Linked DNA regions of Arabidopsis thaliana. The main gene of each other region encodes a partner of the protein of the gene in region 2 in a complex. Each region holds a gene or a part of one and is shown on either strand. Other genes may lie near its edges. The genes, in order: MED9, MED32, SFR6 and AT5G03500.

Region 1 (7,244 bases), about 17 Mb from region 2:
AAGCCAGCTGAGATGCGATATCAATCTTTAAATTCCATTCACCTCTCTTTTTGGTGTTGATCAGAAGGAATCAAATGTATATATTATTCATATACATATATGTATCTCGAGAACCGCTGGTTATGTTGCATGTGCCAAGAGTATAGAAAAAGTGGTCTTGTAGACAAAGATTTTGACTTTGTTTGATGCAGACAAAACATCGTGGTCTATTGTAATCTTCTTTCTAGGTGGTATAAACATGAAAAAGGACAGCTTCTGATGAGACAAGAGGAGGAAATTACGAAAGGAAGAGGTACAAAATCGATTCTCTTAAATTCCAGCGGACAAAACACAAAGCCTTAAAAGTATCTAGTGGACCTTAGTAAAAGCCCAAATGATGGAGCGTGCTTGATTGAGGCATAGTACATATGTCATCATAAGATGAAGATTTTGAAATCACCAAGCAGAGTCAAAATCTAGGGCAATGACAAAACGTAAGCAGCAGGATACAAAAGAAAACCTAACCCTAACCGTATTTGAATCCAATAAACGATGTTCAAACTCTGGAGGAGAATACTTTGATCGAATCCCTGCAGATTTGGTCATCAAAATCTTATCGAAATTGTCTGCAAAGTCTATGGCCAAGTGTCGTTGTGTATGTAAGCTCTTGTCGTCGATAATTCGACAACCAAATTATAACCAGTTGTTCCCGATCAAGTATCCCGATCCACCGAGGTTCATCTTCACCTTCTTAGGTGGAGGAATGTTATTTTCCTACACTTCAACACAGCCTGAAAATCCAGATGAGAATTCATCTCTTGTAGCCACTGCTCATCATCATACGGATATCCCTAGAGATTTCTCTCAAATCCTTAGCTCTGTCCACGGACTGGTCTGTTATCACCGTAAGATAAAAAATGACACAGTTTTTGTGATTTATAATCCCATCACAGGGCAGTACGTAACCTTACCCATATTGGAAGCACATGCGACAATAAACTATTTCGCCATCGGGTATGATCCAATCAACAAACGGTTCAAGGTATTGTGTGTAACCTCGGTGCATCATGGAACAGGGGAGGAGTTTGATAGTCAGCATCAAGTTCTCACATTCGAGACTGGAAGGAGAAATCTATTTTGGAGGAAGATCCAATGTCGCAGACATTATTATACCCACCGTTATCATAAGGGGATATGCATCAAAGGTGTTTTGTATTATGCAGCAACCTCTATGAAACCTATGTTGGGACCTATGATCGTTTGCTTTGACGTTAGGTCTGAGAAATTTGGTTTTATTACTTGGAAACCTCCCTCTCTGATAAACTACAAGGGTAAATTAGGTTCAATAAATAGTAATGATAACGATTTGGTGTTGTGGGTTTTAGAGCATGGCCAGGAACGTAAATGGTCAAAGCATATCTACGTAAAGCCCCTTCAATGGCCGGAGTTCAATGGAATTGATGTAAACTTTTTAGTTACTAGTAAAGGTGAAGCTGTATTCTGCCCAAATCACTATGATCCACAAGTTCCTTTTTACCTTTATTACTACAATCTCGAGGAGAACATTGTGGTAAGAGTAAGAGTTGAAGTTCCAGAATCTCAAGGTTCTAAACGGGTTTTGTTTCATGCTGTTCCAAACTATCTAGAGAATATGAAGCTTACGTGAGTGTTTTATTGGGTTTTTTTTTTACCTGTTTAAGACTATTATCATGATTTCAAAATAGTGAGTAGGGATAGATTAGAAGTCGGTGTTTTTATTTCTTTTTAAAAGACTAATAGATGTGGCTTCAATGGTGTTTTGTTTTATATTTGGAGGATCATTGTGGAATAATGGTTGAATTTTCCATGGTCGCTACAATGCTTTTTCTACTCTGTTCTGAATCTAAATCACAAAACCACTCACTATGTTCAACAACTACCTGGGCTTATATCGTTTTTGGGTTGAGCTTTCTGTTGCATGTCCCACATACAAAGATTTTGGTTTGGTTTGATGCAGACAAAACACATTATGCATTGTGATCTATTTGTAATCCGAAGAATGAATTTTCTTGAAGAAAACCACATTCTCTTTATTATGTGAATCAAGATTGGTTTATTGATAACAATTATTGGTCTTAAGTAGCTAAACAGTTGCTGAATCAAAATATGAGAAACTAATGCTCCATTGTCACAATCTCTTCAATAGATTTCCTATACTCCACAATCAAATCCCTGACCAGAAGACATTTAACAACAAAAGAGTAAGAGCACGATCACAATCTGATCAGATAAAACATGATACTAACAATCTAGCTAACCTTCTCTGTTGAAGCAATTGCTCACTTTCTTCAACATTTCTCTTTTGGCCATCAACAGTCTATAAAACACAGAGAGAGAGAGAGATCCATAAGAAACAAAAGATTAAACAGAACCAATACAGAGATCCAAAATGTTACCATAGTTTTAGATCCTAGTGATCCTGAAATCGAATTCAGCAACTGTTGACACTTGTCGAAATGGCTATTCAATTCATTCACCTGCAAATCCCACAATTTCAACATCATCCAATAAGAAACCCTAGAAATCTCAAAACCACTTTAAAAGACTTGATTTTTAACAAACCAGGGCGTCAGAATTCTGATCTCGTGTTCCATTTTCGATCACATCAGCTAATTTCTCCACCATCTGCGTCATTAACACGAAATTAGAACCCCCAACGATTCCAATTTCATCAATTTTCTTTGTTTCTCTTACCGGATAGAGATGGAAATGAGAAGCTAAAGACTGATGCTGTTGAGGAGTCTGCACCGGAGTTTGAACCAACTGTTGTTGTTGCTGCGGTGTATGCATCATAGATTGAGGCGTGTGAACCATCGTCTGTTGCGGCGGAGGTGATTGTAACGACTGTGGCTGAAGAGGAGGAGATTGTAACAACCGTTGTTGTTGTTGGAATTGCTGTTGTTGGATGAAGTGTTGCTGTTGTTGGAATTGCTGATATTGTTGCATCTCTTGTTGTTGTTGTGGCTGGAATTGTTGTTGTTGCTGCTGCGTCTGTTGTTGTTGTTGAAGATGAAACTGTTGTTGTTGTTGTTGTTGTTGTTGTTGTTGTAATTGTTGTTGCTGGAGGAATAGTTGCTGGTCATGATTCGTCGGTGTACCGAAGTTACCTTGCGCCTGCACGTTTGGGATCATCGACCAATTACCTCCTCCTCCTGAGAATTGATCCATTTTTTCTCCTTCCGATCTCGCTAATTCTCCTTCTCGTCGCCGTCGTCGTCTATTAAAACTTAAAAGAACGAAGAAGAGACAAAAGTGGGAACTTAAACGATGTCGTGTTTTGACCAAAAAAAAAAAAAAATGATGTCGTGTCATGATAAAACGAAGTTGTTCTCAGTTAAGGTTTTGTTTGTAATTTACAATCGTAAAACGCCGTCGTTTCAGTATCAATCTCTTCTTCTTCTTCTTCCTCTCAAACCGAATGTTCTTCTTGGTCGGTCACAATCTGTTCTGCACGAGCACTGCACAATCACTTGGAGTCTGTGAATTTCACATCTGAAAGAAATACAAACTCCCATAGTTTTCAATTTTCACGATCTCCGAATTTCACGACTTTGATACTTGGTTTCTTTGCACATTCACGTAAGCTCCAATTCTTCCTTCTCTTCTTTTGGCAATTGATTCACATCGAATAGTGTTGCGTTGACGAGTTCTTCGTTACAGATATTGTGTATTATGGCTGTTAAAATTGAATTTGAATTGTTAGTATTAGCAAAGTAATACAAAGTTTGTTCCTTTAACTAATTTAACCAGCTTCTGTTCTCATGAACAAGTTTGTGCCTTAGATAAGTCAGATTTTTTACACTACTTGATGTACAGTAAATTTACTTGTCTTTCTCTTTAGGCGACGAAGATGAGGCTGTTGAAGGTTGCTACGTGTAACTTGAACCAATGGGCCATGGATTTCGAGAGCAACATGAAGAACATCAAGGCTTCGATCGCTGAGGCAAAGGCTGCTGGTGCTGTTATCAGGCTTGGACCCGAGCTCGAGGTCACTGGCTATGGTTGCGAGGATCACTTCTTGGAACTCGACACTGTCACTCATGCGTAAGCTTCTATTTTTAGTTTTCTATTTCGATGATGAATGGCATGAATGACTTGGTACTATCACTTTAGATGATGGAATTAATTTCTTTTTCTTCTGAATTTAGTTATCGGAATCATGTTTAACCGTTTCTTCTTATGTTCATGTGAATATCTTCTTTCAGGTGGGAGTGTTTGAAGGAATTGCTGCTTGGTGATTGGACGGATGATATTTTGTGCAGCATAGGAATGCCTGTGATTAAAGGAGCAGAGCGTTATAACTGCCAGGTTCTCTGTATGAACAGAAGAATCATCATGATTCGACCGAAAATGTGGCTCGCAAACGATGGAAACTATAGGGAGCTACGGTGGTTCACAGCTTGGAAGCAGAGAGAAGAGCTAGAGGAATTTCAGCTCCCCATTGAAATTTCAGAGGCTTTGGAGCAGAAATCAGTCCCTTTTGGTTATGGTTACATCCAGTTTATCGACACGTGAGTTTGGATAAATGCTTCCATTTCAACACTGTCAATGATTTTGTCTGCTTAACTGTATCAGTTATATTTCCTTATCAGGGCTGTTGCAGCTGAAGTCTGTGAGGAACTGTTTAGTCCACTTCCTCCTCATGCCGAGCTCGCATTGAATGGTGTTGAAGTATTTATGAATGCAAGTGGGAGTCATCACCAACTTAGGAAACTAGATATTCGTCTGAATGCTTTTATGGGGGCTACTCATGCTCGTGGTGGGGTGTATATGTACAGTAATCAACAAGGATGCGATGGTAGCCGCTTATACTACGGTATGTTTGACAACCCTTAAAATTATTGAAAGTATCATTTTTGAGTAAATCATATCTACTTTTTTGAGTGAGATTTGTTCATTTGTAACCAAGTGCAGATGGATGTGCATGTATTGTTGTAAACGGGAATGTTGTTGCTCAAGGCTCACAATTCTCGTTGAGAGACGTTGAGGTCATCATTTCACAAGTGGATCTTGATGCGGTATCCCACAGTTACCCTTTGGCTTTACTTTCTTCTGTTTTGTGATATATAAATGAAAAGTTCTTAGGATCATCTTGCTTATTTGTCTTGAGAAAGGTTGCTAGCCTTCGTGGATCTATAAGTAGCTTTCAGGAACAAGCAAGCTGCAAGGTTAAAGTATCTTCAGTAGCTGTGCCCTGTAGACTTACACAGTCCTTCAACCTGAAAATGACACTAAGCAGTCCGAAGAAGGTTCTCCATCCTTGAGTATTTGATGTTAAGTTAACATCTAAAATTTTCCACTCTAATATACATTAGTAATGTAGATCATTTACCACTCTCCACAAGAAGAAATAGCCTTTGGTCCCGCTTGCTGGATGTGGGACTATTTGAGAAGAAGTGGCGCTTCAGGATTTTTGCTTCCTCTTTCTGGCGGAGCAGACAGCTCCTCCGTGGCAGCTATTGTTGGCTGCATGTGCCAACTTGTTGTTAAAGGTACACTGGCGCTTTTTTCTATGTATGTTGAACTGTGTTTTGTCTTGTTGAAATTTCATGATATTGAGTTCTCTCAGAGTATATTTTCTTTCTTGTTTAGAGATTGCAAAGGGAGATGAGCAAGTAAAAGCTGATGCGAACCGAATTGGGAATTATGCTAATGGGCAGTTTCCTACTGATAGCAAAGAGTTTGCCAAACGAATATTTTACACTGTCTTTATGGGTTCTGAAAACAGGTGAATTAGTTAATAAGAGCAAAGAGAATATGATTTTTCGTCACTGTGTGGATTTACAGCAGAGATGAAACTTTTTTCCCCATATTGAAATCTTAAATTTGCAGTTCTGAGGAGACAAAAAGGCGTTCAAAGCAGCTGGCAGACGAGATTGGTGCTTGGCATCTTGATGTTTGCATAGATGGTGTTGTCTCTGCAGTTTTATCATTATTTCAAACAGTTACAGGCAAGCGACCAAGGTATAAGGTAAAGTCTGAATATACATTACCTAGGCAAACTGTTAGAAAAAATGAAATATGATCATCTGGAGAAGAGAAGAAGAACTAAAATTGTGAAAATGGTTGTTGGTTTTGTTTATTAGGTTGATGGAGGATCAAATGCTGAGAACCTTGGGTTGCAGAACATTCAAGCCCGGATGAGAATGGTGTTAGCATTTATGTTAGCGTCTCTCTTGCCTTGGGTTCATAGCAAACCAGGCTTTTACCTTGTTCTAGGCAGCTCCAACGTTGATGAAGGACTTCGTGGTTACCTGACAAAGGTAATGGAGTAATCACTTTTTGGCTGCTACATCTCAAATTTCATAGATGGTTAAAAAATATTGTTCATTCTCTTGGTTGAAACAGTATGATTGCAGCTCAGCAGACATAAATCCTATAGGAAGTATCAGTAAAATGGATTTGAGGTTGTTCTTAAAATGGGCTGCAACGAATCTCGGATATCCATCCTTGGCAGAGATAGAAGCTGCTCCACCAACAGCTGAGCTTGAGCCCATTCGTTCTGACTATTCTCAGGTAATAACAAAAATATTTGAGACTCTATATAGTTATAAAGTCAACGAAGATGTCAGTTCAGATATCTTGAGTTTTGAAACAGCTCGATGAAGTCGACATGGGAATGACATATGAAGAGCTTTCAGTCTATGGAAGGATGAGGAAGATATTCCGTTGTGGACCAGTATCTATGTTCAAGGTTTGATTTTCTGAAAACTAGCCACAAATGTTACTAAATCATATGATGCAGTGAAACTGAAGCTGGTCTGTGATTCTGCAGAATCTATGTTACAAGTGGGGAACAAAGCTAAGCCCAGCAGAAGTAGCTGAGAAAGTGAAGTATTTCTTCAAATATTATTCGATCAATCGACACAAAATGACTGTCCTCACACCGTCTTATCACGCTGAGGTACTTGCTTATTTGAAACATGTTTGAATCTGTCTTGAGAGAGAGAACAAAAAAACTCATTTGTCTTTTTGTTGCAGAGTTACTCCCCAGAGGACAACAGATTCGATCTGAGGCAGTTTCTGTACAACAGCAAGTGGCCATACCAGTTTAAGAAGATTGACGAGATTGTTGACAGCTTAAATGGTGACTCAGTTGCTTTCCCGGAAGAAGAAGCAAACTCCAACAAAGAAATTGGAGTTGTAGCAGCAAACTCCGGAGACCCAAGTGCGGGTCTCTGATGAACATCATCCCTAAACCCTCTCTGTTTCAACCCAAATTGGAA
Region 2 (7,094 bases):
CAAAAAGGAAATATCATTTTTCAGATAGCATACATATTTTACATTGTGGTTAAGGAAATCAAAGGGAACCAAGTAAGGTGACTACACAAACTAACGCCTAGCTGGCTTGCCAGGCAAGGTAGGTATACTCTGTTCGTCTCTGAAGAAATTTTGCGGATCCACAGCAGTTTTCACTTTCACCAACCGATCAAAATTTTCACCGAAATACATCCTCCCGAAAACCTCTGCTACTCTGTAACTGTTTGGGCCAGGGGTATTAACTCCAATATCCAGATCCCTGTAATTGATATAAGTGTGTCTAGGGTTCTTGGTCACAAAAGGAGCCATGTAGCTATAAAAGCTTTTCGCCTTCTGCAAGAAACTGGTTTCCGCTTCGGTTCCCGGATCTTTCCAGTTCATCGAATGCTGGATTTTGTAAAGCTTCTTCCTATGTGGGAATGGTGTCTTCGTTGTAGCCACCGTACTCATTATCCCTCCGTAAGGATTAAACACTAACCCTATCTTCCCAACTTCAATCATTTTCTTGAACAAGAAATCTAAACCATCTTTAGTGATCTCTTTCTCAACGAAATCAGATTTCCTTTTCCCGAAAGTCGCCATATCAGGGTTTCGGTCCAGTAGAATCTCCGGTTTAATCTGCGTAGCGTTATCGTTGTTTGCCCACCACATCACCGACTGTATCCAAGTCATCTCCGTGCAGTTCTCCTTCTTCAAACCAAGCTCCGGGAATTCTTTGGTTAGCATAGACATAACAGTGTTTTGGTCCCCCAAGAAGAGAGCCACAACCGATGCTCGAACCGTTTGCATTTTATTCCTAGTCACCGGCTGCAACAATAGCCTCATGAATAGACCTGGATCGGTCTTGGGTGCAACAAATTGCCATTTATGAACCATTTCAGTAGCATTTTCGACTAAGTTTTTCTCTACTCTGAAAACGGTTACGGTCGGTGGAACAGGGACGAGTTTGATCTTGAAAGCTAGGATAACACCGAAGCTAGCACCGCCTCCACCGTTAATGGCCCAAAACATGTCTTCTCCCATTCCTTTCCGATCAAGAACCTGTCCATTAACATCAACGATTTTGGCGTCGGTGACGTAATCAACGGAGAGTCCGTATTTTCGGATCATGTTTCCGTAGCCACCACCGCTAATGTGACCTCCGGCTCCAACCGTGGGACAAACTCCGGCGGGGAATCCATGACTTTTGGTTTTTTCCCAAATCCTGTAGTAAACTTCACCGAGTGTTGCACCGGCACCGACCCATGCAGACTCTGTGGCGGGGTCGACGGTGATGTTACGGAGATTTGACATGTCGAGGACGAAGAAAGGAACGTGAGAGATGTAGGAAACACCTTCGTAGTCATGACCACCGCTTCGAGTTTTCAGTTGGATGTTTAGCGATTTCGTGCAGATGACGGCAGCTTGGACGTGACTCTCGGAACGCGCCGCGATTACGATCGCGGGTTTCGGAGTCGCTGTGGTGTTGAAACGCGCGTTACGGATGTAAGCGCGTAAGACGGGGGTGAAAGCGGCAGCGGTTTTTGGTAAAACGACGTCGGCTAATGAGTTAGGAGGAGCTTTTGTTTGGTTTGTGAAACATTGGAGAAAGTTTTGGTAGATTGTTTCAGGCGGAGGTTCGACGGCAAGAGAAGTAGAGATGAAGGAGGAGATTAAGAAGAGAATTAAACAAAAGATCTTCATTTTTTTTTTTTTGATTGGATTCTATTTGGTGTTTTCTGTAGTATAAATAGTTACATGTAGTCTTTAAATTTCTGTTGTGATTCTTATCGTTGGCCATTTTTAGGATTTGTTGTATTGGTCAAGGTTTCTCCTGTTTTTTTTTTTTTTAATGGTTTAATTGCTCAAGATTTTAATATAGTCAAGTTAACTATAGAAAGATCACAAGTTTCAGAAGTCAAGTTAACTTTAGAGATTTTAATATAGTCAAGTTAACTATAGAAAGAACACAATTTGTTTGAAGGCATTGTGAGAAAGATAAATTTTTAGAGGTATTGGATTAGGTTGTTTTGGGAAGAGAATAACATGTCTTTCAACCTTTATCTTCCTTTTTTTTGAGGGATCAGTTATTTTTGTTTTCATATTAGAACTTGAGATATTAATGTTCTATAAAACGGTGAATAAAAGACCAAAAATGTTTTATACTACAAAACAAAATTATTTTTGATTCAATCTAGAGAATGAAAAAAAAGAGTTACGACCATGACAAGTTATTTGTTATTCAAAATAAATTTTGTTGAAAATAATTTAATGTTCAGAATATTTGTTCTAAAATACATTTAGAATAACAAATCTTGAAGCGATTTTACACTTCGTTCTAATGACATTAACAAACTGAAAAGATATACAAATATAACGTTTAGCAATCTTTTTACAAAAACATAAGGTTATACTTTTCAGCTAATAAGAGTAGAAGTTATTGTAATGATTTGAGAACAACATGTATTTTCGTGATGCTACTAAATTAATATGTTTTGAGAGTTTATGAATTTTGAGAGTAGTGTTGTTATATGGGATCTGAAGCATCCAACATAGCGAAACATCATTCGTTCCATTTTTTTCGGTGGCATTCTTTCGAATTTGCGTCGAGTGTCACTTTTCTATCTACATAAACCAAAATTCTAGGCACTGAATGTCAAAAAAAAAAAAAAAAAAATCTAGGCACTATAATAAATGCAAGGAGGATGTATAGCTGATATATGATCTTACAAACAAAAACACTTCGAACAAAGGCGAGAACAAGTAATTAAGCAATGTCAAGAGCTTGTGGCGCAAACGTAATGTTTTTTTAATAATGGCATGTTATTTTTTGTTCTTGACGAATTCCTTAAATTGACATGAGGATAACATGCACATAAACAAATTGTCCTTCTTTGAATCATTCTGAAACTTCTCCCTTACACTTTTCTTTGAATGTAAAGAGTGATTCTTACATGAAAACAAAGAGTAATAATAATACTTTACAACTATATCAAATCAAAGATTTGAATAAGCATTTTATAAATATTGGATAAACATAGGAGAGTTTTATCCAACATCCCTAATTCCAATCATACATCTTCCGCATACGGTGTATCAAAGTACTGTGATAGATCCCATCTTCTTGAGCAACATAATTATACGAGCCACCATGAGGCATTCTCTTGTCTTGAACATATGCGTCAAACTTCTTTTGTACCTTGTAATCAGCTCCTTTATACATTGTACACCAGAAAAGTGTTTCTCCCATAACGTCATCGTGGAAACTAAAACCCCAATCTTCTCCAGGTTTCATATATCTTTCACGAACATCATTGTCCCCAGATTTACAACGTACCTTGAGCCATTTGTTGTGAGAAAGACTGTTCCTGAATAACAACGACGTCTTTTTTCCTTTAAATGGATTCGAATGGCCATATGCATTGCTAATCATGCATAGGGCAAAGACAACTAGAAAGATTGAAGTATTTTTCATTTTTTCTTTCTAGATGCTTAGAGGTTTTGTCATCGGAGTAATTTTTTATTTACGGTATTGTATATATAGACATATATGTATGCTATTTTTGAATTTACGTTCTTATTATATATTGCTCTCTTATTATTAGTATTTTCTATTAATGATTTGCGGTATCAAATCGTTTCAAACACAACAATAGATATGGATGGTTGAGTGGAGAACAATATATGGATTTAGATCTTTGAGTAAATATTTCCAAAGAACATTTGTTTTCAACACGGACAGTAATTTGACGTGATACATTTACCAAATACTACCTATTATATTCTGCCAATTCGTTACAAACAGATAAATAATTCGATTAGTATATACATATCTATCGTTTAATTGTGATAACTTTATTATTATATTAACACTAAAGTTGATTAAAATCGTCTTGATTTCGATTAGATGTTTTATTTTATAACATTAAACACACATATTTAAAAGATGAGAAATTAAATTGTATGTATATGGAATTTTAACATTAAAAAAAAAATCCAAATGACCAATCCGGTTTATGTCGGTCCGGTTTGTATTAACCAATCTTAATTTCAATTTTTACCATATAAACCTAACCAGACTATTACAATGAAGAAGAAGAAGAAAGAAAGTGACACAAATCGGACTCTCCGTTCATCGCCGGTAAGTTTCTCCTCTTTATCTCCGGCGGTTTTGGGCTGATTTTTTTAGATTCTGTCTAAAACTGCTCTAATGATTCAATTCCTTCACGAGTTTACGGATTCTATGCCGTGAATTTGAACCCTAGGTTTGCGAAAGCAATCGCGAGTTTTGCAATTTCGTTAAATTTCTGTCTCAAAGATGTAATCTTTTTGATCATTTAGCTTCCATTGCTACCGTAGCATCTTATTCTTTCCCTGAGGTTTTGAGTTCTCTCATTCTATGTGTAGCGTTAACGAGAACGAATTAAGATTTTTTGAGGTTTTTAGGGTTTCTTATTTCCAGATACTTTTGCTGGGATCTTACTTGATTCCTTTTGCAGTTTTTTCTTGTTTAACTTGAAATCTCATGATTGATACTTGGTTTGAGCAGTTATTTGAAGGGGAGGGATCAAATGGATAACATTGTGGACTCATTGAACAAAGCTTATGAGAAGTTTGTTCTTGCTTCAGCTGGTGTTCTTGAGTCTAAAGAGAGTGCAGGTGGACAAAAAGCTTTGCTCACTGATACTGCGTTGGAGAATTTCAAGGAGAAATGGGAACTGTTCCGTGTGGCTTGTGATCAAGCAGAGGAGTTTGTGGAGTCAGTTAAGCAGAGAATTGGATCTGAGTGTTTAGTTGATGAGGCTACTGGTTTAACTACTACTGCAGCAGGTGGCCAAGCACCAGCAGCGGTGACTGGTGCTGCGACTAGTCTCCCTCCCATTAGTGCAGTAAGGCTTGAACAGATGAGTAGAGCGGTTCGATGGCTTGTTCTTGAGCTGCAACGTGGCTCTGGTGTAGCTCCTGGTTCTGTTCATTCATCCTCTACCGGGTTTGATTCTAGATTCTCTGAAGACTCGACTCAATAGCGTGCCTAGTTAGTGTTAAGTTCGACAACCGCAGCTCCATAACTCTCGAGTCAGTCGTTGTGATGGGAAGAGTGGCCTAATCAGTGTTATGTTCTGTTATTTCATGGGATTGAGCCAAGCTAGAAGCAACACTGGGGGTATCATTTAGGACTTATGACTCTTACTAAATATTGGGCTTTTTATTCTGAATCTCAAGTAAAGAAGCTGTTCTTTTTTTGTGTGATTCTTCATATGTTATTATGTTTCTGTTGTTTCAAAAAGAATACTAATTTTGATCTTGTACATGATGTGTTTTTGGTTTTGTATTAACCATGATTATCAAGAGTTTAAAAATGTAAACGAACTAGTATAATTTTGAGTTTTGATTACCTCACGTTCACAGCAAAATCGTGATAAACGTAACAAAAACATGAACACTCACAACAAAACCGTGACAAGAAAAGTTAGAAACACACTTAAGACTTAAGTTATAGGGTTTGAACCCGAGACGTCTCACACTCCTCTCAGATAACAGAGTTAGTTTCGCAAACTAGAGTGATTTTTTGCTAAGGTTTAAGCAAACGAATCGCCAAAACCAGGATACAGAGGCTAATAAGATCATCTTCAAAAGTGTCTCACTTTTTCTAACCTCGCCTCCAAAGATTCTTCCTTTTCCGATTCCGATGAAAAGGAATTTTGGGTTTTAGGAAAGTTCGATTGGTTGGTTTGGAAACATCTCCCTAACACACGCAGCAAACACCTTCGTTGTTTACGGAGACAGTCACTTTTTGTGTACGTCTCTCTTCTCTTTGTTAATTCTGATTTCTGACAACCCTTTTGTTCAAATTTCTTCTGATTCTGTTGTGTGTTTTCTGATTTTTCAGATATATGGATTCGAATCAATCGATGCGGCTCCTCAGTGCTTGGATTGGTCAAGTGAGATTTTTTTTTGTATTCCTTGATCATTGACAGGCTTTAGCTCATTAATGCTTCAACAAGGCCTATGGAATTAAGTGTTTAAGAACAATTTGGTGTTGCCAATTTGAGTCTTCAAGCCATAACTTTGTTTCTGTTGAATTTTTGTATTCCACAGATTGGTGATCTTGGTCTTAATTTGCTATGGCGTTTTATACACATTGTTGTGAGCTTATGGTACATTGTCTCTGGCATATTTGAGGCAATAGAAAGCTATGCCATAACGTTAGGATTGAATAAAAAGTACGGTTCCATCGATCTTGAGAAACTCCGGTGTCTAGCTGTTGTAGTGGACATCGAAGCAGCTCAAGATGTTGCCAATGTTGTTGAGCTTTTGCAATGGCTAACCACCATTGGGGTTAAACAAGTTGGTCTATTTGACTCTCAAGGTACATGCTTTAGCTACTTATCTCGTTTTTTCACGTTCATTAAATGATTGCTGATGTTGGCTTCTTTAGGTTTATTGAAGAAATCCAAGGATTTGATCCTTGAAACCGTTCCAGGTTCCATGTTGTTAGAGGTATATTAATCTCATACCTTTCATTTAGTTTGCTGCTTTACTTGTGAATCAAATCTTTAGCTTATGTTGTTAGTTATGTAGCTCATGATATAAACTTTACCTTGTCAATGTTTTTGTTTTTCTTTCCCAGGAGATTGAAAAGGATGTTGCGCCTGACGGAAAGCGCATTGCATTAGAATTCATTTCATCTTCAGACAATAAAGAAGCTGTTATGAAAGCAGCCAACATACTTCTTCAGAGATACTTGAAATCCAGCCATCCTGAGGACGACAAAGGGGAAGACTTTTTTACAGAGTCTCATTTGAATGACGCATTAAGAGTTGTTGGTTTGTGTTGACTCTCTCATATTGGATTCAAGTCATTATTAAGTTTATTTCCAAGAATCTGATCATCAATACTATGGCAGGTGAGAATGTGCATGTACCCGATCTGTTACTGGTTTATGGACCTATAAGGAGCCACCTCGGTTTCCCTGCTTGGAGACTTCGATACACTGAGATAGTGTACGTGCTTTTAACTCTTTTTCTCTTATATCTTTAGAGCTAAATCTCATAGAGTTTGTCTTTTTTCTCGGTATTTGTTTGTTGATAGACATA
Region 3 (8,213 bases), on a different chromosome or scaffold from region 2:
CATGATACTCAAATGTCGCTTTCTGGCCTACAGTCAAGACCTGCAGCAGTGTGAATTGGTTCAATAAATTAGGCTACTATGATTTTGTGAGGATCTAAAGGCCAAATAACCATATAAGTGATACCACATATGAAATAAATGAGTAAATATAACTGTAAGCAGAATATTATAAGATTTGCAGAATGGTCAACCAAATGCATTCAATAAAAACCAATGGTTCAGCAGAAAAATAAGGTAAATGACAAGATCCATGTACACATTGCTACAAATGGAAACTATACCAGCTAATCTGTTTTATTTAGACCTTATCTGTTTAGAAATCACAGTTCTCTCGTTTTGCCTCTCAGATGCATGCTTAAACCACAGCACAAGACATGTATATCTTCAGAAACCAAACATGTAACATTGGTTCAATAAATTAGACTAATACGATTTTGTGAGGATCTAAAGGCCAAATAACCATATAAGTGATACCACATAATCAAGAAATACATGAGTAAATATCTGTAAGCATAATATTACAGGATTTGCAGAATGGTCACCAAATGCATTCACTGAAAACCAATGCTTCAGCAGAAAAATAAGGTAAATGACAAGATCCATGTACACATTGCTACAAATGGAAACTATATAAAACAGATTAGCTCGTATAGTTTCCATTTCCCATATAAAACAAATGGAAACCAATGCGTGCCTTATCTGTTTAGAAACCACAGTACTCTCATTTTGCCTCTCAGATGCATGCTTAAACCACAGCACGAGATGCATGTATCTTTGAAAACCAAACATCTAACAATAACAGAGACAGCAGAACAAGAATATCTCTACCTGGTTGGTGTATTTCCTCTTAAGCTGGGTCGAAAGGAGAGCAGCATCAACCTGTAAAGTAATATTGTACAGAGAAGTTGAGTTCAATCACAAAGCCTACAAATATCTCAAGAAACACATCATAGACATCAAACAAACCTGCTCGCTTTTAGTTCCTTTCTTCACAAATTCCAACTCCAGCGTCAGCATAGCCAGATCAAAATTTTCAGGAGGAACAAATCTGCAAGAACAAGACAATATTCAGAAACCAAAAACGTATTCATGCCAGAAAATTAATATAAAAACAAGCTGTATAATCACCTGCTAACAGATACCATATCACCAGTCGAAACTCTAGCGTGTCGCCTTTGAATAGCATTGAGAGCAATATTTCCATCACGGATGCTTCCATGTCCAGTAATCACCAGTTAAGTTCACAAAAATCGAAATAAATGACACAATGAACAAGTTCAACATTGTCACCGACCAAAGGAGCCTAGATTTCTATAATCCATGAAAACCAGAAAAACCTAACTTGTACTACGATCATAGATCAATCAATCATTATAAGAACCATTCATAAGGCCGAGATTCAAATTCGAAGATCGATTTTGGTAAATTTAGCAGTAATTAGCCATATCACATAAACAATCAACTCCTAGGATCGCATTTCGCATTGCAATGTAAGAAATGAATCGTAAAATGGAAATAAGAAAGGATATCAGAGAGAAAGAATGAAGCTATCGGCAACGTTGGCGAGGAAGAGATCGGAACCGGGAACGGAGAATTGACGGAGATCGGAAGAAGAGCAGTAAGCGAGGTTAGTAAAAGCTAGATCTGCGGACGGAGTATTGGTCACAGTCATCGTCATGACTTGCGATCCGTAACGACCCGCCATGGCTGGGGTTTCGATCTCAGGTTTCTTCGAGTCTTTTTGATTTTTGTAACCTTAACGAATAAGAAAATATTTGAGGGAGAAGCAATAAACAGAAGACTACGATTGCTTCCTTGATTTTAATAAGATCTTTTATTTTTCGAGTCCTGATCAATGTTTTGGAAACCAGACCAAACATTCCGGTTCGACCAATAGCCGTCTGAATTAAACCAAAAAGCGGTAAATTAAATCTGGTCATACCCTCTCGGCTCGGTATTAGAATCCGGTTTGCAACACAAATCATAATTCATTTTTTTTGTTGTTCTTTTCTTATTTTTTTTTTTTTTTTTCAGTCTAAATTTTAGAATACTTGCTCACTGATTATTTTGAGCAAGTCATGCATGAGACACATCCTCACAATTCAATTTGAGTTCGGATTAACCACATTTATTTATTTTTCAACAAATAGTTCAAAACTTCAATCGATGATCAATTATGTGAAACTAGAAGGTCAACACATAAAAGCTCAAAAGATCTTGGACTGTCACAGAGCAATGATAGATGATGGATGCTAATGAATGGAATAAACACAATGAGAAGGAAGATGAGGCAAAACAACCTTCACATAGGGAGATTTTTAAATTGAACAACTAGCTCAAGTAAACTTATAAGTAATGTTGTAAACATGGAATGAATAAGTTTGAAATTTGGTGCATTCTTAGATATGAGAAGGTGGTTAAAAGGGTATGGTGCAAAGACATATCCATCCCTAGTATTTAATAGATTGAAAGAAGGAATTTTTTTTTGGTTCTAGTTTAATGAGTGAAAATGAAAAAATAAATAAAAAGGCAAATGAAGATGAAGATGAACTCAAACTTTTGACTCTCTAATGTAATCTTATAAGCAAATAACCAACTTTTCTACTGAAAGTTATAAGAAAATGAGGCAAAAGTTTTATTTATATTAGGGAATTTAATGAAAAAAACCCTCAACTTTGGCCAGATCCATTTTTAAACCCTAAACTATGTTTTTAGTAAAACAAACCCTGAACTAAAACCTGTTAATAAACTTAACCCCACAGTAATTAAACAACGTTTAGGGTTAAGTTTATTAACAGGTTTTAGTTCAGGGTTTGTTTTACTAAAAACATAGTTTAGGGTTTAAAAATGGATCTGGCCAAAGTTGAGGTTTTTTTTCATTAAATTCCCTTTATATTAATTGAAGCCGCAAGCATGAGCTTGACCCGTTTGTGCTCATGGATGGCTCTGCTTGTATCTAGTTAGAAGCCGAAACAACTAGTTTTCAGTACGCTATGCATGTAACTCAAAGAATTTGGTGTAAGCAATAAGTGATTCTCATTCTTGGTCGTGCTACATTGAGGGAGATACAACAACCATGGGAAACACTTATGCCTAAGCCTAACTTTTGATTTGGGAGGAGGCAAATGAACTAATGCCTAAGCCTAATATTTTGCACAACTCTACTCGCGTGGCACCTCTTATCATCTTCAAATTGGTGGATCGTGAGCTTCGCAACCTAATCACTTCTCGACGACATCGCAAGCGTTGGCAGCGGCTAATGCTTTTATGGATTCGTTAAACACACCTAAATCTTTTCTAATTCTATTGTAGCCTTGTTTTTATTTTTTTTGCCTTGGTTACTTTTCTATAGGTTGTACGTTCTTGTATTTTCTGAACTCTCATTGTAATGATATTAACAAATTTAGCAAAAAAAAAAAAAAACTAATGTCAAACAAGGATCCTCAAATGCCAAATGTCAAATTAAGTTAGTACCTTTCCATGTTTACAAATTTGAATTTGAAGATGGTAAATTAGAAGAAAAAATGAAATTATGATCATTTTCCTTAATCAAAAGATTCAAAACTATCATTTAAAATTTACTTCTTCATTTTTTGCTCTTAAAAGAAAAAGTAAAAAATTACAAAAAGAGGGGAAAAAAATTTAGAGAGAAAGTGACCAGACACGACGGCGTTTTTGCATCACTTTCACCGAGATTTTTTTTCTGCATCCCGGCGACGAGACTGTGACTCCACCAAACCCTAAAATCAAAATTGCATTTTTTGTTCGATTTTGATTTTGTGGGGATTTTGGAATTTTCCCCGCACTAAGTCGTCTCGTTAACCCCACTTAACAGTTTCTCACTTTGACACTTTCTCTCTCTCTCAACGCACAGTGCTTTCTGTCGCCTTCAATCGCGACTTTTTGTCACACTTGCCCTCTTTTCTCCGATTTTTCTATAAATTTAGGGTTTTGTTTGCTTTCGTTGACATGAATCAGCAAAACCCAGAAGAAGAAGTTTCTTTGGTTAATAATAGCGGTGGTGGAGGAATCATCGAAGCTCCAGCTATAGTGGAGGAGAAAGAGGAAGAAGGATTACAGCAGAAGCAGGAAGAGACTATTGAGTCTACCGATCCGATTCTCGTCGTCGTTGAGGAGAAATTGTTAGAGAAATCAGTAGACGGAGAGAAAGAAGACGATAATAGTAGTAGTAGTAACATGGAGATTGATCCTGTGAGTCCGGCTACAGTTTTCTGTGTTAAGCTTAAGCAGCCCAATTCCAATTTGCTTCATAAGATGAGTGTTCCTGAATTGTGCCGTAACTTCAGGTTTGACTCTCTCTCCCATCGGAAAATCTTTAAATTTCATCAATTCCTGTAAAGTTTTCTCCTTTTCTTTGTGTTAGTGCTGTTGCGTGGTGTGGCAAATTGAATGCTATTGCTTGTGCTTCCGAGACCTGTGCCAGGATTCCAAGGTATGGTTTTTGTTACTTTTCTATGTCTTGAATGTATGGGCAGTGATGAATTTCTCAATTTTCATCTTTCTCTGTTCTCATCTCTTGCAGCTCCAAGGCAAATACACCTTTTTGGATACCAATACATATCTTGATACCTGAGCGCCCTACTGAGTGTGCGGTGTTTAATGTTGTGGCAGGTATTTTGATATCAGTTAATTATTTATGAACTCGGTTGATCTAGTGGGTGATAAACGATTATGATGCAATTTTTTATATGTAGACTCTCCTCGTGATTCTGTCCAATTTATCGAATGGTCTCCCACTTCTTGTCCTCGTGCGTTACTCATTGCTAATTTTCATGGACGTATAACTATCTGGACGCAGCCTACTCAGGTTTGTGCTCCTGATCACTGGGATTTACCTTTATATTTCTTCTTTGTCTTCTGTGTCAAGATGTTTTATGACACCCTCAGATGATTTTTTTTTTGTGGATTGGTTTTGCAGGGTTCGGCTAATTTAGTGCACGACGCTACCTCCTGGCAGTGTGAGCATGAATGGCGTCAGGACATTGCTGTTGTTACAAAGTGGCTGACAGGGGCTTCCCCAGTATGTAATCTTATGTTTTGCTTATTTGCCATTCTATCAAATGCACAGCATATTTGTCCCTTAATGAGTTCGTTAAATTAGTAATGGAGGGCTTGCATGTGAGAGTGGGCACTGGGATTACTAAATCGTGAGTAATTGAACTGGAAATGTCTCTACGTTTTGGAGGAAATGAGATGGAGAAAACACAACGTCCTGGAAATCCCAACTCTCTGTTTGCAAAATTACTAGACTCCTAAAAGATCTTCCAATTTGCGTTTCTTAGATGCATTTCTTTAATGATCGGCATGAACACATAAGGAAATGAGTAACAGATAGATAATAATGCCATTGCAAAGAACATGTTCTGAAGGACTTAATATCATGTTGTTTCTGGCCACCTAGTTTGCTGCTCTAGTTTTATCCTAGGAAATTTATCCTCTATGTTTTCTTTTTATTGATAATCAGTATAGGTGGTTGTCCTCCAAGCCAAGTTCTGGTACAAATGCAAAGTCAACTTTCGAGGAGAAATTTCTCTCGCAGAGCTCTGAAAGCTCAGGTTTTCTTCTGCGTGCCTCTTGTGACTCATTTTTTGATGATATATTCAGAATTATGCACTTAATTTTAATTATGTCAGTTCCTTTGACATCCAAATATATGTGACAAGATCAATACAACATGTTCTGACGTTAGTGCATTTTCCTCCACTTTATGTGACGGTTCTGATTCTCTACCATTTGTTGCAGCTCGGTGGCCCAACTTTCTCTGTGTATGCTCTGTTTTCTCATCCGGCTCTGTTCAAATTCATTGGTCCCAGTGGCCTTCTAACCAGGGAAGCACTGCACCAAAGTGGTTTAGTACAAAGAAAGGTCTTTTAGGTGCAGGGCCAAGTGGAATTATGGCTGCTGATGCTATTATAACAGACAGTGGTGCCATGCATGTAGCAGGAGTTCCAATTGTAAACCCTTCAACAATTGTAGTATGGGAGGTGACCCCTGGCCCTGGAAATGGACTCCAGGCGACTCCAAAAATCTCTACAGGCAGTCGTGTGCCACCATCCCTTAGTTCTTCTTCTTGGACAGGTTTTGCTCCTTTAGCTGCGTACTTGTTTAGCTGGCAAGAATACTTAATATCCGAGATAAAGCAAGGGAAGAAGCCCTCAGATCAAGATTCCAGTGATGCTATATCGCTAAGTTGCTCACCGGTTTCCAATTTTTCTGCTTATGTAAGTCCAGAGGCTGCAGCTCAGTCTGCAGCAACCACAACATGGGGATCTGGTGTTACCGCTGTTGCTTTTGATCCAACTCGTGGTGGTTCAGTGATAGCAGTTGTTATAGTTGAAGGTACTGTTCTCATCCTTCTCGGAACCTCATACTGTTTCCATGATTGAATAAACATTTTCAGGTTTACGTTTAGTTTTTGGTCAATCATTTAGAAATGCTCATATATTGAAGAGCTGCCAGATGAGAAAATGCTAATTTTGTTTGAGTGATGAAGCGCAACAGCTTCAATCTATTGTTTAAAATAAATGCTAATTGTTTGTGTCTGCAGGGCAGTACATGTCTCCGTATGATCCAGATGAAGGTCCTTCAATCACAGGCTGGAGAGTACAGCGCTGGGAATCAAGTGTTCAACCTGTTGTACTGCATCAGATATTTGGAAACCCAACTTCAAATTTTGGAGGACAGGTCCCCACGCAAACTGTCTGGGTATCCAGAGTGGATATGAGCATACCACCTACTAAAGATTTTAAGAATCATCAAGTAGCTGCAGCAGGACCAAGTGTGGATGCACCAAAGGAGCCTGATTCTGGTGATGAGAAGGCTAACAAGGTTGTATTTGATCCTTTTGATTTGCCAAGTGATATTCGGACACTTGCACGGATTGTCTATTCTGCTCATGGTGGTGAAATTGCGATTGCTTTTCTTCGTGGTGGAGTTCATATCTTTTCTGGTCCAACTTTTTCACCTGTTGAAAACTATCAAATAAATGTTGGATCTGCAATTGCTGCACCCGCATTTTCACCAACAAGCTGTTGTTCGGCTTCTGTATGGCATGATGCTGCTAAGGACTGCGCAATGTTGAAAATCATCCGTGTTCTTCCTCCTGCTCTTCCGCGTAACCAATCAAAGGTTGATCAATCAACATGGGAGCGGGCGATCGCTGAGAGGTATGTAATCTCTGGTATATATTTTCTAGCTTGTCTGCTTGCAAAGGAACTTATATTGTGACTTGAGATATGAATCTGCATTCTTTCTTAACAGATTCTGGTGGAGTCTTTTGGTCGGAGTTGATTGGTGGGATGCAGTTGGCTGCACACAGAGTGCTGCAGAGGATGGGATAGGTATACTTTAGTGCTAAGTTTCTTGATTTAAGTGTTATTTAATATCTGCAGTTGGATTTTTTTGGGTCTTTAGTTGTGGAACAACCACTGGAATTAGTTTTGCTTAGAAATATGACAGTTTGTATTTTAGTTTGGGAATAAGTTCTAGTTTTTAAAGGCTGAGTGTCATTCAAAGAACCTTTTCTCTGTTTTTCTATTTTGCTTTTATACTAAGGTTTGAATGATAGAAACTTTGAATGATAGTGGTTCAAATATTATATTGTATTGTTTGAATAATATACTGCTTAAAGCATTGGATGATGTATTTCTTTTTATGATTACAGTTTCATTGAACAGCGTGATTGCTGTCATGGATGCTGATTTTCACTCCCTTCCTTCAACACAGCACAGACAACAATATGGCCCTGTATGTTTTTACTCAACCCGAATCCAACTCATTATCTTTTTCCTTTTTAAATGTCTGAACTGTTTGCGTTGCGGTACCGTTTATTATGTCTTTGCAAAATATTTATATATATATATATATTTTTTTTTCTGGTTTTATAATGTAAAGCTTCTCTATTCCATGAGCATGCAGAACCTATTTTGTGTTGTTCTTTTATCGGACTATAAGATAGTGTAGCTTTCTCTAATTTAAAAAAAGAAAGAAAAAAGGAACAAACTTCATCTGACTTTAGATTATTTGAGTAGCCAATATACAATGCATCTGATTGACTGATTCTAAGACGCTGAACAAAATCTTGGCAGTCTATTGCCCCCTTGAGATTCTTCGTGTTTTTTTTGCTTTTTTCCTTTTTGGTTGGTTGCGCTTTTTGGTAAAGAACTTGTATTTTTATGGTTTACAGAACCTAG
Region 4 (7,514 bases), on a different chromosome or scaffold from region 2:
TGAGTCATAAACTATATAAAGACATGACATGATCGATATAGAGATACCATTATACCATTAACAGTACGTAGCGTAGTAATAGCTCCTATTTCTAGAAGATGTTGTAGCATATATCATATCAATAAGTTTGTAACAGTTTACTGTTAGTTTCCCATACTACATAACATGATCATGAAGATTCGTTTGTTGCTACATGAATGTCTTGTGATATATGTCCAAAATCTCAAGACATCGGTCAGTATATTATCGTATTTTCTAGTGAAAAACACATTCGATAATAAAAAAATTCGATAGTATATAGTCGAAGCTAGGGATCAAATCACATCTACTGTATACTTCAACATTGGACTCTCAAAACACGCTTTAGATCCGATTTTTGAACGAGTCTTTGTAGATTATTATAGATGTAGTCTTTTGATTTACTCTAATGAAAATGATATATGTATTATTATATCAGAAAAGAATCTGAAAAAACGAAAAACCCCAAACGGAAGTGAAGTGTATCCAAAGGAGTTAGTGGCGGCTAACAAACGAAGTGACTTTATGCGAAAGTCATCGTCACATGCTTCTTCCGTTCTCCAAGGAACATCCTCAGCATCTTTCATCATTCTCCCAAAGTTAAGTATCACATACTTATATACTATTGTGTATATATTGATGATTATTAGAAATGTGCTAAATTATGGAGCAATGAGTAGTTTCAAAGAATGAAATAATTTGAAGTTAATTCAATCAATGTCAGATTACAAGAATGAATGGACAATAATAAGAGAAGGGTTAATGATTTAACATATCAATGTAATAAAAAAGTAATTACAAAGAACTACTTAATTAGTGATGACAATCAATCAAAGAATTTGACGCGGCCGTGAAGAGAAGAATCTGATCTTTGGATGCAAACGCGAATTTCGGTTTCTCGCAGCATCGTTCATCTTCGGGTGCTGGAAGATTCAGATCTAACTGGAGAAAGTTCTTTGGCCGTATAGATTCTTCATGGTGATGATGACTTGATGATGATATCGCTGTTTTGATTGCTGAAGTAGCGTTTGCGTTTATTGTTAAACCTCTATGTCTCCTCATATGTCCTCCTAAGGCTTGTCCTGAAGAAAACTCGGCCTTGCAGATTGAACATTCATGTGTTTTCTCCGGTTTCTTGCTACCATCACTACTAGTCACTTGTAGGGAAAGAAAGCTTCCTACGGCTCCAGCTTCCACTGTTTCAACCGTAGACGCAGACGCCGTTTTCTTCTCGACGCATTTGAAAACGCTAGCTCCAAGTTTTGGCTTCTTGTGACTAGCCCTGTGCCCTCCTAGCGCTTGGAACGAATGGAAGCTTTTATCACACGTTTTGCACTGGTAAACACCGTCTAGCCCTAACCCTAGAGAAGCCACCGGTTTCTTGTTGCTAAAGAAACCCATTCTCTGCATCGACAAATGATCGTCGCTGCTCTTTGCTTGATGTCCTTGCGACAACAAGATCAGACAATTCGCCATATCTTCGTCTTCATCGGTAGCTCCTTGGAATTCTACTTCACCAGCAGCTTCTTCTTCTCTTACCTCCACTGATGATCGTTCACCGCTACAAACGCTGGATACTGCAGCAGCGTTCATCATAAGAGGAGACGCAGAACGCTGACGTTTGGTGCGTTTGCCCTTGATGAGGAGAACAAGACGCGCGTGGTCTCCACTCTCCTCAAGAACACTTGTCATGATCCTCCGTTTTTTATTTGCTCTCTGTATTTCAAGAACACAAGAGGTCGTATATGTATATATGGAGAGAAGTATCAAAGAGTGTTTGGTGGGTTTGGTTTATATGTCTAAGTATTTATATATATTTGTATGTGATTGTATTTGTTTATACACACAATAGTATTGTGTGTATATATAATGTAATGGGTAAGAGAAAAGATGAGAAAAGAAGCAAACCCAAAATAACTTTTGGTGAAGGATTCCTTTCTGGAAGTTTTGGTTTGCAAGCCTGGAACCACTTGTTGTTCTCTTCTTGTTTTTATTTTTTTCCTTTCAATTTTTTTTAAATGATTTTCTCTTTTTTTGGTTAACTTTTGTTTTGCTTGTCTTATGAATCACATAAAAAAAAATACTAGTATTTTACTTATTAAATACTCATAAGCATCCTTATAATTTCAAAAGACACACATCATTATAGCTAAAGTAACAAAAATGTGGATTCAATGTCAACACTAATCTTAGAAGATGTTATTTTATTTTCTTTCTGAAAATGAAATTAAATCTGTGTTTTCTGTTCAAGAAGGTGTCATTCTACATATACCATTTTTTCTTATTAATAAAATGAACTACAATTTTGACACTTGGAATGTAATGTATTATATTAAGAAGAATCAAACTGGATTGCGTATTCTAAATATGCCACTCAATTTATTGATTTTTTTTCCTTTGATTTCACATTATCACTAACTAAAATCCTAAAACTTTATAAATAATTTTATATTGATGGCTTGAGTCATCCACAAGTAGTTTCAACACGAAACACAGTACCACAACACACACAATTCAAGCATATTATAAATTCCTGCAAACTTATTACGTTTTGTAACAAATTACATTAAAGATTTGAAACCAACTATTATATATAAAAGCTACTAAAGTACAAATTTAACTTGAAAATACGTCGAATTCTGTTTTTGTTTCTTAATACTACTAATCATTGCGGATATATGTACACTTAAGTTGCTGATTAAATAATTAAGTTAATTAATTGGAAAGTAAAAGGCAATCGAATTTTGGGGTCGAGCAGTTCATGTGCAGTTGAGCCAACCCACAATTACACAACACACAATTATGAATCATGATTCTAGTTATGTATACAATATTTAGTTATAATGATATTAGCTAAAACGAATTAAATATATAATATCACTCCCTATGTTTGCGCCTCTTTCTAAGAAACTTTGATTTTTATTTTGGTTATCCAATTATTTGATCAAACCATTATTAATCTTGTGATTAGCTAATAATATGTATTCGATGAAGTAACCTCCCTTATCGTAGTTTGTAACTGTAGTCTAGGTCTTTGTAGTATAGTATACTAATAAACTCGGTGACAGCAATTTATAAAATTCAAGAAACACATGTTTTTTTAATATTCATTCTACATAATGAGTTTCTTAGAGCTGGATTGATATCCAACTTTTACTCATTCAACTCTATACACATTAGTTGTCTTTGGCTCTCAATGATTATCTTTTGCTAACGTGTTACTATACATACAATAGATCATTAAGAAGAATATTTTTGAGTGTATTGTGAAGCTAGTATCATCACAATTTTAAAATGAATAAATCAGGAGGAATTGATTTAAGTCTTGGCGTCGAGGATTGTGTGTGTGAAAGAGAGATAGAGAATTGCTTGGCCGCCAAAAGAAGCCATTACTTGCCAACTAGCTAGCTTCACTACTCAACCTAAGCAAAGCATATACTTTATAAATAAATAAATAAAATCATAAACATAATTAGTCGTCACCCATCATACATTCATCATCACCATCCTAACAAAACCTTTTTTACAAGGCTTCTCAAAAACCGTTAAGTAGTTGTTGCAACTTGCAAGGATCACCTAAACAAATTATACCGAAACTTGCACAATTGAATTCCAATATTTTAAAAACATTTTTCTTTTGTCATTTGAAGCATATAAAATGGTTCTGAATTCTGATATAGGTGGGTGGAACAGAGTCTTCCCCCATATAGCAAATCCCTCAACGGCTCTAGAAATACGTTTTAAGCTTCACGAGGAATAAGAAGATTAGGAATATATGGGCTTAAAGCAGGCCTGAACTAAATTAAAGGCCCAACTAAAAGAGAGGAAACAAATCTCGATTTGCTTTCTCTGGTGAGCGTGTCTTCTTCCGATCGTCTTCTCCGGCTGCGTGAATTCTCCGCCGAGCCATCTCTCTGGCGAATCTCCAGTGAGTTCTATTATTTTCACTCTGTCTTTTATGCTTCCCGTGAAAGGGATTTTTTTATTTCTCTCCCTCAGATTCTCCTTGTCGCCACCAACTCATTCGTCTCCCTACCCATTTGTGGCCACTGGATTTTTTGTATTGACCTTTCTTTTTTCCTCATGAATCAATTGAAATCTACTGTTAAGCATTTGACGATTTTGGACAAATTGGTGGTGATTTAGGAATAACACGGTTGTGGTGGTGGCGGCTACTTCAACGTGACGATGACAGATTAGTTTCTAGTGATGACAGATTAGTTTCTAGTGGTCGCAGAGTTATTTGGTAGTGATGACATAGTTGTATTCTAATGAGAACAGATTGTTTTATGGCGGTAGACGGATTTGTTTTTGATTAGAAACCCTAATTTTAGGAATCTGTTACTGATTTTGCTTAGTTTTTGATTTGGATATGTAGAGAATAATGGCTACAGCTACATATCCACCTCCTCCTCCATATTACAGACTCTACAAGGATTTCTCAGAAAACACTGATTCTGCTCCTGAACCTCCTCCTCCGATTGAAGGCACCTACGTCTGTTTTGGAGGCAACTATACTGTGAGTCTCCTCCACATTTCCCCCTCTTTAAAATCTTCATCTTTATGTGTTTTTAGCAATTTTCAATTTTTTTGGTTAGTAGACTGAAGATGTTCTTCCAAGCTTAGAAGAACAAGGAGTGCCTCAACTTTATCCAAAAGATTCTAATCTTGGTATGTCATTCTCCTAACTCTGTGAAATCAAACTCAAAATGCAATTGCTATTGGCTGTCTAGAGTATGGTTTTTGGTTCTTCCCTTCATTGGAATCAAACTTATTACATGAGTTCATTTGCAAGTTATGTTCTTTGAAAGTACCTCTTTGAGTTCAAATATCTTTGTGTGTAGATTACAAGAAGGAACTCAGGTCACTGAATAGAGAACTACAGTTACATATATTGGAGCTTGCTGATGTTCTTGTTGACAGACCTTCTCAATATGCGAAGAGAATTGGTGAAATTTCTTCAATCTTCAAGAACTTGCATCACCTTCTCAATTCCTTGAGGCCTCACCAAGTAAAGAAGCTCTCATCTTTCGATTAATTACAACATGGTTTCAACACTTTTTGTTTTTTCATCGTTTTGATCTTTCTCTTGTTGTATAGGCGAGAGCAACGCTTATTCACATTATGGAACTTCAAATTCAACAGAGGAAACAAGCTGTGGAAGACATTAAGAGGTTTGTATATGCTACTTAAGTTTTCTGTCTTTATGGTGTGTTAATAATTTAATATCAATCTATCATCTGTTTAAAGATTCTTCAGAAGCTTTGTTGGTTGTTCTTATGGGTCCGTTTGATGTTTTGGTTGTGTGCAGGAGGAGAGAAGAAGCACAAGGACTTCTTAAGGATGCTTTCGTCACTTTAGATGGTCAATAAAGTATACTTTTTGTTAATCCCATTTTGTGTAAATTAGCGCTAATAACCTATGCCCTCGAAACTTTTTTTAATTGATCCTGTGTGTGTGAGAGAGAGAGACAGACGTGTGCAATCTCATGATTCAACAAGTAAAGCCTATATCATCTTTATTCAATGTTACCCGTGAACCGGCATTTAGTTCCGCCGGTTAGTGCGGTTCAACATTTATTATTACAATTTCGGCTTAACGGGAACTATTATAACCATAACGGATTCATAAGAAGATTAGACCAATATGGGCTTAACGCAGGGCTAAACTAAATTGAAGACCCGACAGTTTGTTCGTAACTACACGTAAGTATCTGAACAACAACAACAGCTTTATAAGGGAATCAACAAAAAATAGTTGAACAAAAAAAAATTAACCTTGTTCAAAGCTAAATCCTGTCAAATATCTTTGGAACCCTAGCAGTCGGTCTTGTCAATTTATCATCAGCATGGACGAATCCGCCATCAAAGTAATCTTCTTCTCCTTATGGACTCTCCTCTTACTCACTCTATTTCTCTTCACAAGAGGATGGAGATGAAGATTAAGATGGATATGGACAGGAGAAAGAGGATGGAGATGGAGAATTAGGAGGGAGATGGAGAATTAGGAGGAGACGAACCTCTTTGTTTTTTTATAATGTATTTACCTTTGTTTGTTTTTGTCTTTGCATGTTAAAAGTAAGTAAGCTCAGTAATCATCACCTGCCTTGATCATGTATGATATGTCATTCTCTGGATGTTAGAAAAAAACAGTAGTAAGCTTAATCTATTAACGTTATCTGCTTTCGGTATTACAATGCAACCTTGTTTTCTAATTTTTAACAAAAATGGATCCAAAGCTATCTTTGAAGGTGATTTTAAACAAGTCATTCAGTTGGTCAACGGGAAGAGTCTTAATTTTGGATTCGGGAAGCAAAAGCCTGGCGACATCGGTTTGAAGATATCCAGTTTGTTTGGACTCCAAGATCAAACAATAGTCATTTTATTATCATTTTTATGCTCCACAATTTATTATTGATGCGCTACATTACCAAGTACTACAAGCTTCAACTTATAAAAAAAGAAGAAGATTAGAACCATATGGGCTTAAACGTAGGCCAGAACTAAATTCAAGGCCCAACAGTTTGTTCGTAACTCATACACACGAAATGTCCCAAACCAGAATAAAATTAGGGAATTAACGAAACAAAAAAGACAAAGAAACCTAGTTCAGAACTAAATCCCTAGATCATAGCAGTCGTTCTTGTCAATTTATAACTGATATAGGAATAAGAAAGAGGGTTAAATGGACACGTGGAGGGTGGAGATTAGAAGTTGGTTTAATGGCTGAGATTGTTTGGATGCTAACAGAAGAGAAAAGAAGCGTTAAAAGGAAGCGAAGAGGAAAAATAATCATTCATGAGATTTGTGTTGAATTGTTATCTTCTTCTTCTTCATTTGTCCTCTGTTTCTCTGAGAGTTCTATTTGAATTCTCATAGCTATTTCTTCATTGTGATAGAGCTGTTTCTACTTCTAAGCTTTATCACATGAGATTTGGATTCTCGTTTTATGAACGACGATTCAATGTGTGTTTGTGATTGGATTAATTGAGAAATTGTGGTTTCTCTGTATCAATAACCATGGACGAATCCGCCATCAAAGTAATCTTCTTCCCCTTATGGATTTTCTTCTTACTCACTCTTTGCTTAACCTCTGTTTCTCTATTAATGTTGTTTTCTTTCTCCACAAGTAAGAAGAAAAATATATCAAGTACGCGTAGTAGAATCTCTGATTAGATCTTTTGTTGTACCTTAGGGTATGAAATTGCTGCAATTGAACGAGATTGGTGCAAACTCTCGAAAGCCCCGGTAAATATATTATCTTGGGAATTTTATTTTGGTGGTACGTGCTGAATGATCATATAATAATATTAACTCTCCACCTGCAATCAAAATTGTTGCTAGTATCCCTTGGACGAAGATTTCCGTGGAGGGATATGACACTAGGCTCCGTGAGTATACAGTCAAGCTCGTGTTGGAAAAACATTTCGCTTCATGCGGAAAGATCACACATATTTATGTTCCCAGAGACTTTGAAAGGGGTATCCTCAAGAGGTA

The links.
Region 1: MED32 (region 2) and MED9 share a complex: the UniProt entries of both Arabidopsis thaliana proteins name them as parts of the mediator complex.
Region 3: MED32 (region 2) and SFR6 share a complex: the UniProt entries of both Arabidopsis thaliana proteins name them as parts of the mediator complex.
Region 4: MED32 (region 2) and AT5G03500 share a complex: the UniProt entries of both Arabidopsis thaliana proteins name them as parts of the mediator complex.

What each region holds. Positions count from the first base shown.
Region 1 is NC_003070.9:20,550,989-20,558,232, forward strand, and holds MED9 (mediator of RNA polymerase II transcription subunit-like protein), read right to left. Parts: upstream 3,267-7,244; 5' UTR 3,187-3,266; coding exon 2,713-3,186; intron 2,644-2,712; coding exon 2,581-2,643; intron 2,496-2,580; coding exon 2,415-2,495; coding exon of another isoform or gene 2,336-2,414; coding exon 2,277-2,335; intron 2,191-2,276; coding exon 2,133-2,190; 3' UTR 1,917-2,132; downstream 1-1,916. Other genes in the region: AT1G55070 (F-box and associated interaction domains-containing protein), read left to right, coding at 464-1,645; AT1G55090 (carbon-nitrogen hydrolase family protein), read left to right, coding at 3,869-4,062, 4,224-4,529, 4,611-4,834, 4,933-5,036, 5,133-5,267, 5,342-5,510, 5,611-5,746, 5,851-5,989 and 5 more. UniProt on the Arabidopsis thaliana protein: Component of the Mediator complex, a coactivator involved in the regulated transcription of nearly all RNA polymerase II-dependent genes.
Region 2 is NC_003070.9:3,970,286-3,977,379, reverse strand, and holds MED32 (mediator of RNA polymerase II transcription subunit-like protein), read left to right. Parts: upstream 1-4,085; 5' UTR 4,086-4,138; intron 4,139-4,546; 5' UTR 4,547-4,568; coding exon 4,569-5,024; 3' UTR 5,025-5,394; downstream 5,395-7,094. Other genes in the region: AT1G11770 (FAD-binding Berberine family protein), read right to left, coding at 91-1,701; AT1G11765 (Plant self-incompatibility protein S1 family), read right to left, coding at 3,059-3,472; LEW1 (Undecaprenyl pyrophosphate synthetase family protein), read left to right, coding at 5,892-5,939, 6,097-6,367, 6,437-6,498, 6,629-6,824, 6,905-7,001, 7,090-7,094. UniProt on the Arabidopsis thaliana protein: Component of the Mediator complex, a coactivator involved in the regulated transcription of nearly all RNA polymerase II-dependent genes.
Region 3 is NC_003075.7:2,493,962-2,502,174, forward strand, and holds the start of SFR6 (sensitive to freezing 6), read left to right. Parts: upstream 1-3,969; coding exon 3,970-4,307; intron 4,308-4,384; coding exon 4,385-4,453; intron 4,454-4,543; coding exon 4,544-4,632; intron 4,633-4,715; coding exon 4,716-4,828; intron 4,829-4,939; coding exon 4,940-5,041; intron 5,042-5,485; coding exon 5,486-5,576; intron 5,577-5,763; coding exon 5,764-6,360; intron 6,361-6,568; coding exon 6,569-7,187; intron 7,188-7,281; coding exon 7,282-7,361; intron 7,362-7,684; coding exon 7,685-7,767; intron 7,768-8,206; coding exon 8,207-8,213. Other genes in the region: NSF (AAA-type ATPase family protein), read right to left, coding at 1-40, 829-879, 967-1,048, 1,129-1,224, 1,530-1,705. UniProt on the Arabidopsis thaliana protein: Component of the Mediator complex, a coactivator involved in the regulated transcription of nearly all RNA polymerase II-dependent genes.
Region 4 is NC_003076.8:874,549-882,062, reverse strand, and holds AT5G03500 (Mediator complex, subunit Med7), read left to right. Parts: upstream 1-3,687; 5' UTR 3,688-4,289; coding exon 4,290-4,313; exon of another isoform or gene 4,314-4,396; coding exon 4,397-4,537; intron 4,538-4,619; coding exon 4,620-4,689; intron 4,690-4,862; coding exon 4,863-5,029; intron 5,030-5,118; coding exon 5,119-5,192; intron 5,193-5,329; coding exon 5,330-5,390; 3' UTR 5,391-5,623; downstream 5,624-7,514. Other genes in the region: AT5G03510 (C2H2-type zinc finger family protein), read right to left, coding at 832-1,710; AT5G03495 (RNA-binding (RRM/RBD/RNP motifs) family protein), read left to right, coding at 7,038-7,058, 7,213-7,265, 7,362-7,511. UniProt on the Arabidopsis thaliana protein: Component of the Mediator complex, a coactivator involved in the regulated transcription of nearly all RNA polymerase II-dependent genes.